2 linked regions of the Anolis sagrei genome follow. The protein of the gene in region 1 interacts with the protein of each later gene in a pairwise test. Links are inferred from orthologs where the notes say so. Each region holds a gene or a part of one and is shown in the gene's direction. Other genes may lie near its edges.

What was found.
Region 2: the proteins of TRIP10 (region 1) and WAS interact in a two-hybrid assay, tested with the Homo sapiens proteins (2 studies listed by BioGRID). The link is inferred for Anolis sagrei from reciprocal best matches to the Homo sapiens genes TRIP10 and WAS.

The regions. Positions count from the first base shown.
Region 1 is NC_090022.1:171,013,612-171,021,904, forward strand, and holds the start of TRIP10 (cdc42-interacting protein 4), read left to right. Parts: upstream 1-4,976; 5' UTR 4,977-5,102; coding exon 5,103-5,126; intron 5,127-8,293. UniProt on the Homo sapiens protein: Required for translocation of GLUT4 to the plasma membrane in response to insulin signaling. Required to coordinate membrane tubulation with reorganization of the actin cytoskeleton during endocytosis.
Region 2 is NC_090022.1:194,031,075-194,039,462, forward strand, and holds the start of WAS (actin nucleation-promoting factor WAS), read left to right. Parts: upstream 1-5,227; 5' UTR 5,228-5,501; coding exon 5,502-5,615; intron 5,616-8,388. UniProt on the Homo sapiens protein: Effector protein for Rho-type GTPases that regulates actin filament reorganization via its interaction with the Arp2/3 complex. Important for efficient actin polymerization. Possible regulator of lymphocyte and platelet function.

The DNA.
Region 1 (8,293 bases):
ACTGGGTGGCATGCCTACTTATGGCACAACAAAGCAAAAGTGGAAAAGAACTTTCGTAACCACTTTATCCGATCGGCTCTACTAAAGGTCTGGGACCAATACAAAGATAGGATGTACCCCAAGACACCGCTCTGGGTCTCCCCTCTCGAGGCTCACCAAAGGAGAGAACTGGGATGGGGCTTATGGCCCACATATAAAGATCTACTACTCAGGGAAAGAAAGGAAATTAGGATTAAGACTCAGGATGAACTAAAAACGCAGTATAACAACATCACCTGGTTACAACATTGGCAGTTGAAAGAACACTTTAAAAAAGACAACCAACTAGGCTTTATGGAAAACCCGACAGCTTGGGATAGGCTCCTGGACTCCCCTAAAAAATATATCACAAAAGCATACAAGATATTACTAGAATGGTCTACGGAGGGAGAACGCGTTAAAGAATATATGATAAACTGGGCTAGATTAATAGGGCGATCCATCTCTTTAGAGGAGTGGAGTCTAGTATGGAACAGTAAAACAAACTATTCCTATTCCTACTATCTGAAAGAACACTGGGTGAAAATGACGCATCAGTGGTATTTAACCCCAGCTAAGATAGCGAAGTTTTCCAAACAGATGTGCTATACATGTTGGAAATGTGGAGAACAGAAAGGGACTTATAGACACATGTGGTGGTCCTGTGTGAGAATTAACAACTTTTGGAAACTAATACACGAGAAGTGCCAACAAATAATAAAGAAAAATATCCCTTTTAGACCGGAATGCTTCCTGTTAGGACTAACAGGAGGGATGGGGGACAAAGGGGTAGAAAAATTGTTCATCCACCTAATAACGGCAGCCCGCTTATTACTGGCCAAGGTCTGGAGACAAAAGACATTACCAACGGAGGAAGAGTGGATAGAGAAAATACTAGATATAATGAACGCAGACCATCTAACGTATATCCTGTCAGCCTCACGCAACATGCCTATATCTCCAACGAACTGGACCCCGGTCAGAGAATGGCTTCGGGGAAAAAAGATAAATCTGCTAACAGTTTAATATCTACAAATAAAAACAAGACACAGGACTTATACAGGAGACTACGAGGAATTGAAATAGCTTAGAAATAGCAACAACCACAGGAAAGTTAAGCGATAGAAAATATAATGGAAATGTATAGAACTCTTTCGATATGCGAGAAGAAACATTTATGTATGCCTAAGTAAGAAGTTATAGTAAGATAAGATAGGGCTCCTTAGGACAAAGAAAACATACAAGACTAATGTACGAATAGCAAGAGAGAAATTTTATACAGAAATGCAGTAGTAGAGAGAGATGGAGGTCCAATAGTGGCAGCAAGCCACTTGTTTTTAAATATGTTTGTATTGTATCGTATGTTTTTTGTACTAGAGGATCTATGTTAGGTAGTTAGCTAGATAGGATCAATGTGGATTATGAATGTCATAGTGCGGTTGAATGACCTGTATTGTTTTCTATTGTCTTTCTATGTTCATTTAAAAAATTTAATAAAAAATTAATTAAAAAAAAAAAAAAAAAAAGACTGCAGACGACACTAAATTGGGAGGGATAGCCAATACTCCAGAGGACAGGAGCAGAATTCAAAACCATCTTGACAGATTAGAGAGATGATTGGCCAAAACTAACAAAATGAAGTTCAACAGTGACAAATGCAAGATACTCCACTTTGGAAGGCAAAACGAAATGCAAAGATACAGAATGGGGGACGATGCCTGGCTCGAGAGCAGTATGTGTGAAAAAGATCTTGGAGTCCTCGTGGACAACAAGTTAAACATGAGCCAACAATGTGATGTGGCGGCAAAAAAAGCCAATGGGATTTTGGCCTGCATCAATAGGAGCATAGTGTCTAGATATAGGGAAGTCATGCAACCTCTCTATTCTGCTTTGGTTAGGCCACACCTGGAATATTGTGTCCAATTCTGGGCAACACAATTCAAGAGAGATATTGACAAGCTGGAATGTGTCCAGAGGAGGGCAACTAAAATGATCAAGGGTCTGGAGAACCAGCCCTATGAGGAGCGGCTTAAGGAGCTGGGCATGTTTAGCCTGAAGAAGAGAAGGATGAAAAGAGATATGATAGCCATGTATAAATATGTGAGAGGAAGCCACAGGGAGGAGGGAGCAAGCTTGTTTACTGCTTCCTTGGAGACTAGGACGTGAAACAATGGCTTCAAACTACAAGAAAGGAGATTCCATGTGAACATGAGGAAGAACCTTCTGACTGCGAGAGCCATTCAGCAGTGGAACTCTCTGCCCCGGAGTGTGGTGGAGGTTCCTTCTCTGGAAGCTTTTAAACAGAGGCTGGATGGCCATCTGTCAGGGATGATTTGAATGCAATATTCCTGCTTCTTGGCAGGGGGTTGGACTGGGTGGCCCATGAGGTCTCTTCCAACTCTTTGATTCTATGATTCTGTGATTCTAACAGGAATAGGGTACAGGGAGCGCACAACTCCTCTGTTGCACCAGTTCCACTGTCTGCCAATTAGCTTCTGAGCACAATTCAAAGTGCTGGTTTTAATCTACAAAACCCTATATGGCTCCGGCCCAGTTTACCTATCTGAACATATTCTCCCCTATGAATCATCAAGGCTGTTCAGATCTTCTGGAGGGGCCCTGCTCTCAGTCCCACCACCCTCGCAGTTGCGTCTGGTGGGAATGAGAGACAGGGCCTTTTATGGGGTGGCCCCTGGGCTATGAAACTCTCTCCCGATTGAGATCAGTTCTGCTCCCTCCCTCCTGACCTTCCCTGTGGCTTCCTCTCACATATTTATATATGGCTATCATATCTCCTCTCAGCCTTCTCTTCTTCAGGCTAAACATGCCCAACTCCTTAAGCTGCTCCTCATAGGGCTTGTTCTCCAGATCCTTGATCATTTTAGTCGCCCTCCTCATGATGATTAGAGTAAAGTAATTTGGGGTCATTTCAGTGCAGTCAACCACATATGTGGACTGAGTTGGACATGATTTTATCTTGATGAACTGACTTTTATGTATTTTAGTCTACATGTGTTTAATTTATTGTTGACTAGCTGTCCCCTGCCACGTGTTGCTGTGGCCCAGTCTGGAAAATAAAGTAATGTGAAAGTGTTGGTTTCTAATATATTTAAGCTTGTGGGTAAACAGTATTTCTTGTTGTTTCTTTGTCAATGTTGATGTGGAGATTGTCTGGTTTGCCTGCTCTGGAACATGCAACATATAATTGCCCTTCTTTAGAGGTCACTTCCAAATTATAATACTATATTTGAGTGTATGTGAATCATATATATCTATCAATATCTGTGGCTGGATGGCTCTTTGTCAGGAGAGCTTTTCTTGCCCTGGTGATGGGAATTGGACTGGGTGGCCTTAAGTATGGGGGTTCTGTGTGGGAGGTTTGCTCCAATTCTCTCATTGGTGGGGTTCAGCATGCTCTCTGATTGTAGGTGAACTATAAATCACAGTAACTACAACTCCCAAAAGTGAAGGTCTATTTCTCACAAACTCCATCTGTGTTCATATTTGGGCATATGGAATATTCGTGCCAAGTTTGGTCCAGATCCATCATTGTTTGAGTCCACAGTGCTCTCTGGATGTGGGTGAACTATAATTCCCAAACTCAAGGTCAATGTCCACCAAACCTTTCCAGTTTTTTCTGTTGGTCATGGGAGTCTTGTGTGCTAAGTTTGGCCCAATTCCATTATTGGTGGAGTTCAGAATGCTCTTTGATTGTAGGTAAACTATAAATCCCAGCAACTACAACTCCCAAATGTCAAGGTCTATTCCCTCATATTTGGGCATATGGAATATTCGTGCCAAGTTTGGTCCAGATCCATCAATGTTTGAGTCCACAGTACTCTCTGGATGTGGGTGAACTATAATTCCCAAACTCAAGGTCAATGTCCACCAAACCTTTCCAGTTTTTTCTGTTGGTCATGGGAGTCTTGTGTGTCAAGTTTGGTTCAATTCCATCGTTGGTGGGATTCAGAAGGCTCTTTGATTGCTGGTGAACTATAAATCCCAGCAACTACAACTCCCAAATGACAAAATCAATTTTTTTTAGTGAAGGATATGCATTGGGTTGTTAGGTGTCTTGTGTCCAAATATGGTGTCAATTCATCCAGTGGTTTTTGAGTTATGTTAATCCCACAAACGAACATTACATTTTTATTTATATAGGTGAACTATAAATCCCAGCAACGACAATTCCCAAATGACGAAATCAATTTTTTTTGAGTGAAGGACATAAATTGGACTCTTAGGTGTCTTGTGTCCAAATTTGGTGACAATTCCCCCAGTGGTTTTTGAGTTCTGATGGCAGCACGAACTAACATTATATTTTTATTTATATAGAAGATTGGTTGTGGGGGGGGGGGGGGCAAAATACTGTTTGCTTACCGTTGAAAATTACCTCTGCTTGCTTGACATGCCTTCTTCCTCTTAGCACACTTCTCTTTTTCGCCCTCTATTTGTGTCTCTTTGAATTCCACAGCACTGTTGGTCACAGCTGACCTCCAGTTGGAATGCTCAAGGGCCAGGTCTTCCCAGATATAGAAACCTCCCTTGCCTAGTTTCCAGCAAACCTCACAACCTCTGAGGATGCCTGCCATAGATGTGGGCGAAACGTCAGGAGAGAATGCTTCTGGAAGGTGGCAAGAGAGCCCGGAAAACTGACAACAACCCAGTGATTCTGGTCATGAATAGCTCCCCCCACCACCACCTTTCAACAGGCTTTGAAGCCCAAGGATCCAGGCTCCCCCAAAGAGACTGTTGATTCCCAATGAGCCCAAGTGGTGGTGCTGAGCTTTGAAAGGAAGAGAGAAGGAGAGTTTGGAAGTTGCCTCCCCAAGGACGGAGCCCCCTCCATTGGCATGGCTCTCCTCTTGGGAAAGGGAAGGGAGGGAGGGAGAGATTGAGGGAGGGCCTCCCCTTGGCCAGGCAAGGCAGCCCCGGCTCGGGCCTGCCTGCGCCTTTAAGGCCGCCGCTCGGGGCGTGTCCGGGGCAGGCGGCGGAGCTGGTGGGGCCCCGGGAGTGAGTGGGACTCCTTCTCGGGAGGGCGGTGGAAGCGGCTGGGGCTTCGGGAGGACGCGGCTGCTGCCAGCATGGACTGGGGCACGGAGCTATGGGTAAGCTTCCTTTGGGCGGGCTCCCTGCTCCCCTGCTCTGGGGGGGGCTCTGCGCCCAGCGCCCTCGCCCCGCTCCCCCCCCGCCACCCCCAGACTTTGGCCCTCTTCCCTCGGCTTCCTTCCAGCCACTCTGCCTCGCCTCCCTCGCCCAGGTTCTTGAGCAAGCCCTCGCCAGGCGCCCTGCTCTTGCCTTCAAAGCTTTGGCTTTTCCCAGGCACGGATTTGTTCGAGTTCCCTTCCCCACTCCGCCCCAAATGCTCCTCTTCCTCCCCGGTCCTTGGCTCGCCCTCTTCTCTCTCTCCCTCGCTCTCTTTCCTTTCCCCCTTCTCTCCCTTCCTTCCCGCTTTCCTTCCCTCCCTCTTCCCTTCCTTCCTTACCTCCTTCCTTCCTTTTTTCTTTCTTTCCTTCCTTCCTCACCTCCTTCCTTCCTTCTTTCCTTTTCTTCCTTCCTTCCTTCTTTCCTTCCTCTCTCATTCCTTCTCCTTCACTTTCCTTCCTCCTCCTTCCTTCCTTCCTTCTTTCTTTCCTTCCTCTCTCCCTCTACTTCATCTTCCTTCCTCACCCTTCCCTTCCTTCCTTTTTTCCTTTCTTCTTTGCCTTCCTTCCTCTCTCCCTCCCTTCTTTCCTTCCTTCTTTCTTTCTTTCCTTCCTCTCTCCCTCCCCCTCTCCTTCCTCACCCTTCCTCCCTTTTTTCCTTTCTTCTTTTCCTTCCTTCCTTCCTCTCTCCCTCCCTTCTTTCCTTCCTTCCTTCTTTCTTTCCTTCCTCTCTTCCTCCCCCTCTCCTTCACCTTCCTTCCTCACCTTTCCTTCCTTCCTTCCTTCCTTCCTTCCTTCCTTCCTTCCTTGCCTGCCTGCCTGCCTGCCTGCCTGCCTTCCTGACTTCCTCTCTCCCTCCCTCTCTCCTTCACCTTCCTTCCTCACTTCCTTCCCTTCCTTCCTTTTTTCCTTTCTTCTTTGGCTTCCTTCCTCTCTCCTTCCCGCCTCCTTCCCTCCTTTTCTTTCTTTCCTTCCTCTTTCCCTCCCCCTCTCCTTCACCTTCCTTCCTCACTTCGTTCCCTTCCTTCCTGTTTTCCTTTCTTCTTTGCCCTCCTTCCTTCCTCTCTCCTTCCCTTCTCCCTCCCTTCTTTCTTTCCTTCCTCTCTCCCTCTCCCTCTCCTTCACCTTCCTTCCTCACCCTTCCTTCCTTTCCTTCTTTCCTTTCTTCTTTGCCTGCCTGCCTTCCTTCCTTCCTCTCTTCCTCCCTTCTCCCTTCTTGCCTTCCTTCCTGCCTTCTTTCCTTCCTCTCTTCCCCCCTCTCTTTCACCTTCCTTCCTCACTTCCTTCCCTTCCTTCTTTCCTTTCTTCTTTGCCTTCCTTTCCTTCCTTTCTTCTTCCTCCTCCCCTTCCTCACTCTTTCACCTTCCTTCCTCACCTCCTTTCCTTCCTTCCTTCCTTCCTTCCTTCCTTCCTTCCTTCCTTCCTTCCTTCTGTCCTTCATTCTTTCCTTCTTTCTTCCTTCCTCTCTTCCTCCCTCCACCTTCCTTCCCTCTTTCCTTCTTCTTTTCCTCCTTCCTTCCCTTCCTTCTCTCCCTTCCTTCCTTCCCTTCTTCCCTCCCTCCCTCCCTCCCTTCCTGCAGAATGAATGCACTTTCACACACATTCAACTGCCATGGTTCCATGCTACGGGATCAAGAGAGGTGTAGTTTGATGAGGAATCAGCACACTTTGTCAGCGAAGGCTGAAGACCTGGTTGAACTGCAACTCCCGGGGTTCTGTAGCCTTGAGCCAGTTTGGCACCACTTGAAAGGCCATTGCTGCGTGCTATGGAATCATGGGAGTTGAGATTTATCAAGTATTTTGCCTTCTCTACCATACTGGTGCCTCACCAAAGGACACCTCTTCAGATGGAGCTATGGCAGTTCAAAGTGGTGCCAAACTGCATCCGTTCTACAGTGTAGGAGCTTCTCCTGAATGCATTTCTGTCCTTGGCTCGCTGTCTTCTCTCTCCTTCCTTTCTCTGCCCCCCATGTGCCTTTTTTCTTTTCGAGAGGGCATAGGTGGGCTCCACTTCCAATTCGTGGCCTTCCCACCTCACTTGATGGGATATGCAATCTGCTTGTAAAGGGAATATGTGTATTATTTATTTATTTATATTATTATTATTATTATTATTATTTTAATGTCATTTTGATAATGTTGTTGTTGTCTCTTGTATATGCTTTGATTTCATTGCTGTATTATGTTGTCCGGGCTTGGCCCCATGTAAGCCGCTCCGAGTCCACATCGGGGAGATTTATTTTATTTATTTATCGTGTCAGGCAACACGAGTATTACATTTTTGACAGAACAAACAAATATACAAAAGACAGAGTTTGCAAGCTTGGTAGTTGTTTAAATGTCCTTTGACCAGTATCTGGCCACTTGGAGTGCTTCTGGTGTTACCGCAAGAAGGTCCTCCATTGTGCATGTGGCAGGGCTCAGGTTGCATTGCAGCAGGTGGTCTGTAGTTTGCTCTTCTCCACACTCGCACGTTGTGGATTCCACTTTGTAGCCCCATTTCTTAAGGTTGGCTCTGCATCTCATGGTGCCAGAGCACAGTTTGTTCAGCGCCTTTCAAGTCGGCCAGTTTTCTGTGTTTCCAGGGGTGAGTCTCTCATTGTGTATCAGCCATTGATTGAGGCTCTGGGTTTGAGCCTGCCACTTTTGGACTCTCGCTTGCTGAGGTGTTCGAGCAAGTGTTTTTGTAGATCTTAGAAAACTATTTCTTGATTTAAGTTGTTGGCGTGCTGGCTGATGCCCAAACAAGGGAAGAGCTGGAGATGTCTCTGCCTTGGTCCTTTCACTATTGGCTGCTACTTCCCGACGGATGTCAGGTGGTGTAATACCGGCTAAGCAGTGTAATTTCTCCAGTGGTGTAGGGCGCAGACACCCCGTGATAATGCGGCATGTCTCATTAAGATCCACATCCACTGGTTTAGTGTGGTGAGATATGTTCCACACTGGGCATGCATACTCAGCAGCAGAGTAGCATAGCACAAGGGTGGATGTCTTCACTGTGTCTGGTTGTGATCCCCAGGTTGTGCCAGTCAGCTTTCGTATGATACTGTTTCTAGCACCCACGTTTTGTTTGATATTCAGGCAGTGCTTCTTGTAGGTCAGAGCACGGTCCAGAGTGACTCCCAGGTATT
Region 2 (8,388 bases), about 23 Mb from region 1:
GGCTTGGGTTGCTTTAACACACTGAAGGATCAAGTGAAGAGAATAGAGGAATTGGCACAGAGTCCCATCTTCAATAAGTTCCCTTTGCAAATCTGATCAGGATCTGTGCCAGCGTGACTTTCTAGGTTTGCAACCTTCCCAACTCTGGTACCCATTGGCTTCTCTTCTCTTTTTGCAACTCTAGTTCTTTAGTCTTGTTCTCTTGCCCCTTTTTATACCGATATCCCAAACTCGTCATGGCTTCCATATAGGTCGCTGTATTATTACCAGTACTATTGCATCAACACACCACCTAGTTTTCTCCAGCTGTTAAACATTCTTTGGCACTGTTGCAATAAGTCGTGATTTGTTAACTTAGAATGGTGGGTGTCCATTTTAAGTTATTGGAATTGGAAATATCCTTTGCCAAGTGCTAAAAATGTGTTGCTATTTCATTATAGTATGGCCTGTACAGCCGCAGTGGTCACCCCATATCTCCTGAAGCAAAGTCTGAGGCAGTCTGCTCCACTATCAAATAGCTCATACTTTCTGGAGGCCCTTCATAATGTTTAGTATTTCTCAATTGAACCAGTTAATTTGGCTTTTACCTTCTGGGGAAAAACAAAACCAAATTTTTAGTGATGGTGGGAGTTGTAGTCCCAACAGATATCTGGATGGTATGCATTACAGGATGAAAAGGGCTGTGTTAATCATGTCATATTAGTCATTATTCAGCAGCACAGCACACATTGCTTTTACTTGAAATGTTTCATAGTATACCTGTTTCTTGTTTGGGCCAAATTACTTGGTCTGCTAGCACAAGGTGGGCAGTGCACAGCCTTCAAAGTGATGGACCAGAGGTTCTTTCAATCCTTACTGGGATTGTCAATGCTGAGGGATTTCATGGATTGTAGGTCCAACAATATCCAAAGAACGCATATTGCTCACCCCAGGACTAGCAGCTTTGCTTTTTTATTTTATTATTATTATTTTGTCATGTCAGGAACAACTTGAGAAACTGCAAGTCGCTTCTCGTGTGAGAGAATTGGCCATCTGCAAGGATGTTGCCCAGGGGACGCCCGGATATTTTGATGTTTTACCATCCTTGTGGGAGGCTTCTCTCATGTCCCCGCATGGGGAGCTGGAGCTGATAAAGGGAGCTCATTCGCGCTCTCCCTAGATTCGAACCTACAACCTGTCAGTCTTCAGTCCTGCCGGCACAATGGTTTAACCCACTGCGCCATCAGGGGCTCCAGCAGCTTTGCTAAGTGTATTATATATGTATATTTGAAATGGCAAAAATATGAAGTTCTTTGGAACTCCAGAAATACATTGCATTTACATTTCTGCAATGGTTGCATCCTTCCCTAAAACTGTCAGTAGTCTGAATCGGATGGAAATCCTTGTTCACGTAATATGGTCCACCTTTTTACATTGGGACATATGCTGTGTTGTTCCTGCTCAATTCATCTGTTGTAGTAGCCCATCATGATGATGAGACAGTTAAATTGTTACATTGCATTATGATTGCTTTTCCAGTACTTTCTGTTGTTGTATAAAGGGGTGGGCAAATCCTCCAGATTGATAATAAAAGGGGACAAAACTTCAGCATGTCCTGTCAAAACACCTCTTCAAATACGGTAATTTAAAAATAATTGGAAACAGTTACCTTTGACAATAATATTTTGCTTTTGTTTTTGAAATGCTGGAAAAGTTAATTTGGAAAGTGATTTGTTTTGTTAAGTCATTACAGTGGCTAAAAAGTAACCCATTGCAATCACTCATCATTATATTATTCTATAATGTTGATGGAAAATTGCATTTCCTACTTTTCTCATTTCATTTCCAGTATTTTTTGTTACTTTATAAGGGGGAGGCGGCGAAACTCTCCTCACCAATAAGAGAGAAGCATAAAACTTCAAACCGTCCTGTCAAAATGCCTCTTGAAATGCGTTAACTTGAAAATAATTAGAAACTGTTACTTTTTACAACAATATTTTGCTTTTAGGGTTAAAACGTAATTTTGTTATATTCTTGATACATTGAGACAACTGATTATATTTAACAACCTTGCTTAATTGGTTACTTTCAGCTTTTGTGACAAATGTCTGGGGTGGCTCCTGTCTGTGTGGCCGACCCATCCAGGTTTACATTTCTCTTCATTTTCACAGGGTGTTTGTGTCTCACTACAATTCCTCTTCCTCACATGGTGTTTGGGTGACTGCAGGTTGCCATTACCCTTTTCCATTCTCTCTCTGGAAACCTCAGGATTTCTTCCCATAGAGACTTAACAGCTCTTGATTCTGGTTGGGGTCGGAGCAGGTTTCATGTTTAAGGGAGGAGGGAATCAGATTCAAAATGTGAAAATGGATGCAAGGACACGGTATTTGTTTAATTTTGGAATGCAATAAAACTGTTGACTTTCAGGAGAAACAATCATGCCATGGATAATGTCTTTTGTTTGTTTTTAATGCTTATAATACCATCAATCAGATGTATAGGAAAACAATATAATGTTGCTACAGCTCTTTTAATTACATATATGGCTATATGCTCAATTGTATGTAAATACTAGTGTATACAGTGTTCCCTCGCTATTTCGTAGTTTGCTTATCGCAGACTCGCTGTTTCGCGGGTTTTTCTTCAGTCCTCCCTCTTTTCCTCCAGCCTGTCTTCATTCCTTTTACTGTCTACATTGAGACCTGTCTCCATTCCTTTTAAGTTGAGACCTGTCTCCATATCTTTTACTTGCCCTTTCCATTCATTTCATTGGTGGCACTCTGACTCTGGCCCCTCCGCTTCTGCCTCTTTGCTGCTGCTGCTTCCTCCTCGTCCTCCTTCTCAAGCCCGACCCACAAGTGCTACAGCAAGCGGCCCATCAAGGCCACCACATCCTCCGGCCCCGGGTGAGCGCCAGGAAGGGAGGGAGGGAGGGAGAGACTCCAGTGGGGCCATGTTTCAAGAAGGAAGATGATTAGACACGCAATGAGGAAGCACACTGCACATGCTCAGGAAACCTTGGCACCACTTGAACTGAGGGAGAGAGGAGTGGGCGGAGTGTCCCTACTTTGCGGATTTTCACTTATTGCGGGTGGTCCTGGAATGTAACACTAGCAGTAAGTGAGGGAACACTGTATACCTGATGTTGCTTGAGCGTCGTTGGGACCACTGCTTACCTTCTTTCTCCCTTCTCCAGCTCTGATAAGGCCTTCTTTGCAACTTCTTCATGGCAACACTCAAGCAGTGGTAGGCAGGCTACCATTGTGCAGGCTACCATTTCCTTCCTCCCCCTCATACACATGTCAACTTCCTCTCTCAGAGACATCACAGGGGATCACCTAACCTAGCAACAGCCAGTCCAGTGAAATCATAGAGGGCCATTTCACCTAGCAACAGTCTTTGTTTTACAAGCATACATACTTCGACATGTGCGTGTGTGATAAGTGTTTGCTGCAATGTTTGCCAGAAAAACAGAAGGTGGGGGGAATGCTTCCTTGCATTGTGTCTTTTTATCCCAACCAATGAACACATTTAGTCTTCATTGGCTCTGTGTCTTATATGAGAGAGAAAGTTCTGTTTGTGAAAGAGAAAGTGTTCTTCACCATTTTTCCTTCCTAAGCCCATAGCCAGAAATACTGAGTTGGGCGTGATCCAAATATAATCAAGGGACCAAATTAAAAGTTAGTGAGATGCAATATTAGCAAATAAATTCATTCCTAAATAGGCTCACCATCCTCCTTGATTCATAGAGTTGGAAGAGACCATGTGGGCCATCCAGTCCAACCCCCCTGCCAAGAAGCAGGAAATTGCATTCAAAGCGCCCCTGAAAGTCATCCAGCATCTGTGTAAAAGCCTCCAAAGAAGGAGCCTCCAGCACACTCTGGAGCAGAGAGTTCCACTGATGAACAGATCTCACAGTTAGGAAGTTCTTCCTCATATTCAGGTGGAATCTCCTTTCCTGTAGTTTGAAGCCATTATTCTGTGGCCTAGTCTCCCGGGCAGCAGAAAACAAGCCTGCTCCTTCCTCTCTGTGAATTCCCTTCACATATTTTTACATGGCCCTCATCATGTCTCCTCTCAGCCTTCTCTTCTGCGGGCTAAATATTCTCCTGCATCTATTAAATAGGTACCTGGGCAGAACATACAAGCATGGGCATGCCAGTCTGATGAGGCCATGTACCAGTTCATTTCTAATCCAGGAAAGAATCCCAGAAGTATGTCTCTACTGCTAGTTTTCTATCTCAGTCTCATAGGCATGGACTCAATTTTACAACTTCCCACCTAATTAAACCTATTTTTGTGTTTGGGACACTTGCCTGTGCTGTTTTAAACACCAAAATCTCATTAAACCTCCAGAGTGCAAACAGCATAGTTTCAGGTTTTTTCTTAGGATTTTTGCATTGATTTTTTAATATCTTTTATGTGTGGACTTTGGCAAATGCATTTTTAAAAATAAAGAACCTTCCTTTTTCTCCCCCCTCTTTCCAAGATGGGAGGTGGCTCATCATAAAAACGTTAAGAAGTAACGACATACAAAAAGTCTGCCAGGAAGTTCATTCTAATTGAATTCAGCCAGTTAAGAATAATTCTTTTTGGGCAATGGCAGGACCAGATTCAAGAGCAGGAGAAAGTATTTTTTAATCCATAACACCAAGAATAGTCCACATCTTTGATGCTCACCTCATGTTTCTGCCCCAACTTTCATTCAAGATAACTTTGAATGAAAGAAAACAGGGCAAATAGGATTTGAAATCTGATCCTCAAAGCAACATTTGGAAGAGGATATATGTTAAAAGGCTGTGATCAAAGCTTTAGTGCTAGAAAAGCAGAGTGGTATTCTGGGCAACTACCACAAGGTTTTTGTGGTTGAATGTTCCCTTAACATTTGCTGTTTGTCATGCAACTAACACACACACTGCCATTCCATTGTAACTATTAGATGCAATTAGATGCAAATAGTTACCATTACCATTAGATGCAATGCTAATCCTTTCCATTGCATCTAATGAAGCAAACTTGAGTCCACAAAAGCTGGTTCTAGTATTTTTTTCTCTCTCTCAGTCTCAAAGATGCAACATGATACTTGGAAACTTTTGTATTCCCCTGCCAAGTCCAAGGTGGGTAGAAATCTTTAGTGCTGAGTTCAGAATAAACCCTGCCCTTAAAATATGTTTTTGGGAACTGAACAACAGTCATACCTATTTTCACAAGCTTCAAAAATATATGTACTGAATCTGAGGTGCCATAGGAGTGAACTCTGAGCTAATTGTTGTTTCTCAGAGCAGAATCATTTGTTTGAGGTGTCTCCTTCATTCTGGCCCACTCTCGGCCTGTTGGTAACTCAGCCATGCTCAGGAAGGACTTACTCCAGGACTCTCATGAAGCAAGATGGGGAGTCTCTTTCTCTCTTGTCTCTGTGGCCTGGTGGTTTCCGAACTTCCTGTTGTAAAGAGAAAAGGCCTTGCAAGACGGAAGTTCGCTCTGGGTGAGATCATCCAGAGTCGTCTTTAACGGGGCCCAAGATGAGCCGGAGGCCCAAACCAGGAGCCAGGACACAGCAGGAAAATACACCATCTAACCTGCTCCAGGACCATGAGAACCAACAAGTGTTTGAACTCCTGGGCAGGAAATGCACGGTAATTCTGGCTTTGTTCTCGGATAGAAAAACTGCAAACAGAATTCAGAAATCTGTCTGGGGCAGAGGGAGGAGCAGGGGGAGGTGGTCGACTGGATTTCTTGGACAAATTTGGGGGATCTAAGTGATTCGAGCATTCAGTCTGGCACAGGAGTAGAAGGACTCATGGTTATGGGCAAGTACCTTCCTTAGAGCAGTGGTTCTCAATCTTTCGAATGCCATGACCCCTTAATACAGTTCCTCATGTTGTGGTGACCCCCAACCATAAAATTATTTTCATTGCATTGTAATGGAAATATCTGATATGCAGAATGTATTTTCATTCACTGCACCAAATTTGGCACAAATACTCGATATGCCCAAATTTGAATATTGGTGGGGTTGGAGGGGGGATTGATTTTGTTATTTGGGAGTTGTGGTTGCTGGATTTTATAGTTAACCTATAATCAAAGAGCATTCTGAACACCAACTATGGAATCGAACCAGACTTGGCACACAGAACTCCCATGATCCCATGACCAACAGAAAATACTGGAAGGGTTTGTCGACATTGATCTTGAGTTTGGGAGTTGTAGTTCACCTACATCCAGAGGGCACTGTGTATTCAAACAGGTGGATCTGGACCAAACTAGGCACAAATACTCGATATGCCCAAATGTGAACACTGGTGGAGTTTGGGGAAAATAGATCTTGACATTTGGGAGTTGTAGTTGCTGGAATTCACCTACAACTTCCAAATGTCAAGGTTCGCCTACATTCAAAGAGCATTCAGAATTCCACCAATTATAGAACTGGGCCAAACTTTCCACACAGAACCCCCATTGCCAACAAAAAATGCTGTGTTTTCTGATGGTCTTTGGCGATCCCTTTGAAACCTCCCTCATGACCCTCCCAGGGTTCCCGACCCCCAGGTTGAGAAACACTGCCTTAGAGCCTGACTTTCCTGTCACTGTCAATCAGAGGATAAACAAGGAGATGTTAGAAAATGTGTTTGATCAGTAAGGGGGGGGGGGGGAGTTCAAATGCCGAGAGATACGATAGAATTTAACTCCCCAAAATGCATCAAGATCGTTGATCTTTTTGGAGGATCCTCTATGCAAAAAATAATGTTGCATCTTAACAAACCTGACAAGCAACTGTTTATTGGCTGCTAAAAAATTAGAAGAGGAAAATGGTAAAAGAAGTGGCACTGATGCTTTGTAAATTCATAAACCAGCACTTGATGGGAAATGGATCAAATTGAAAAATCTATAGGGAACAATGACAATCAGCAGAGTCCAGACTTCATTGTTTTGCCTAGAATATGGCTTGCTAAAATAATAGATGATTTTGTAAAATACAGTTTTGTTGTTTCAAGCAATAGTTAAGTTCTGACATTTGTTTGCCTGGGCACATGATCTATTCAGCTCCTGCAAAATACTTTCTCCTCAAATGCATGGAGGCCATGTTCACCCAGCTTAAAAAAATTGGAACGTGTTGGGTGGCTGGGGACTTGTGGTAAGGATTAATGTGGCCTTTCGTAGGCACAGTCTCTCCCACGAATAGGTCTTCCCCCACCATTTCTCATCTGCAGACAACCCCTGCCTTTCTTTCTTGTTCAGATATCTCAGGTTCCTTCCACACAGCTGAATAGAACCCCACATTATCTGCTTTGAACTGGAATTTATGGCAGGGTGGACTCAGATAACCCAGTTCCAAACAGATATTGTGGGATTTTCTGCCTTGATATTCTGGATTATATGGCTGTGTGGAAGGGCCCTCAGATAACCCAGCTCAAACCAGATATTGTGGGATTTTTCTGGGTTATATGGCTGTGTCGAAAGGCCCTCAGCCTCTACATTTCTCTAATCTGGTGCCTTCAAGATGTGTGATTTCCTATCATGCCAACATGCTGGTAGCAAATAAAGGGATTTATTGACCAGTGCCTTTAGTGAGCAACTGGCTGGAGGAGACATTTCCATATTTAAGGTACTCACTGTCTTGCAATAGTTTGGAAATAAAATTAAAGCCAATCCACTGGGCAAGAAGCCAAGTACATCTTCACAAGAATGAAGGTTTTTGTTATGTTTTGTTGGTCTTCGCATTTTTACTTCATCTTCCATGAATAGAAGTGACCGGAGAAGTTCGACAGTGAAACAACAACGATGCAGAAGGAAAGAATTCTAGAGCTGTCTGTTGTTTCTGTAAACTGCCTTGTCTTCAGGAAATGGAGAGAGAAAAACCACTTCCTCAGTGTGGTGGTGGTGGATCCGGCAATGATGACATATAGCGGGTCTAGAAGTGGGAGAGAGGGCGAGTCATTACCATCAAAATAGGCCCTTTCAGAGTTCAGAAATACACAAGGGTAATATCCTTTAGTAGAAAAAATGTATGCAGTCTATTCTTGTTCGATAATGGTGTACACTTTATTTTGAGACCATGCCTACTTGTAAACCAGTTCCACCATCAAGACGTTGAAGATGGTAGTTTCTGAGCGGGTTAATAGCTATTTAGAGGTTGTTAGCCTACTGAGTGGTTAAATCTTCTACAGCATGCCCATATTTTAAAGAACACTGTTCTTTTTTCATTGCAAAAAAAAAAATCTAAAAATATCAACCGTTTCCAAAATATCATGTAAAATATATATAATCTCTGCTCCAAATCGTAAGTTCATATAATGCACTCACTTATTTGAATCTGTTTAAAATTAAGTACAATTTTCTTGAGTGGGGATTGTTAACTGCCATCTGATTGACTTTGACGTATGGTGACCATGTACTGTATTTCACCGCATA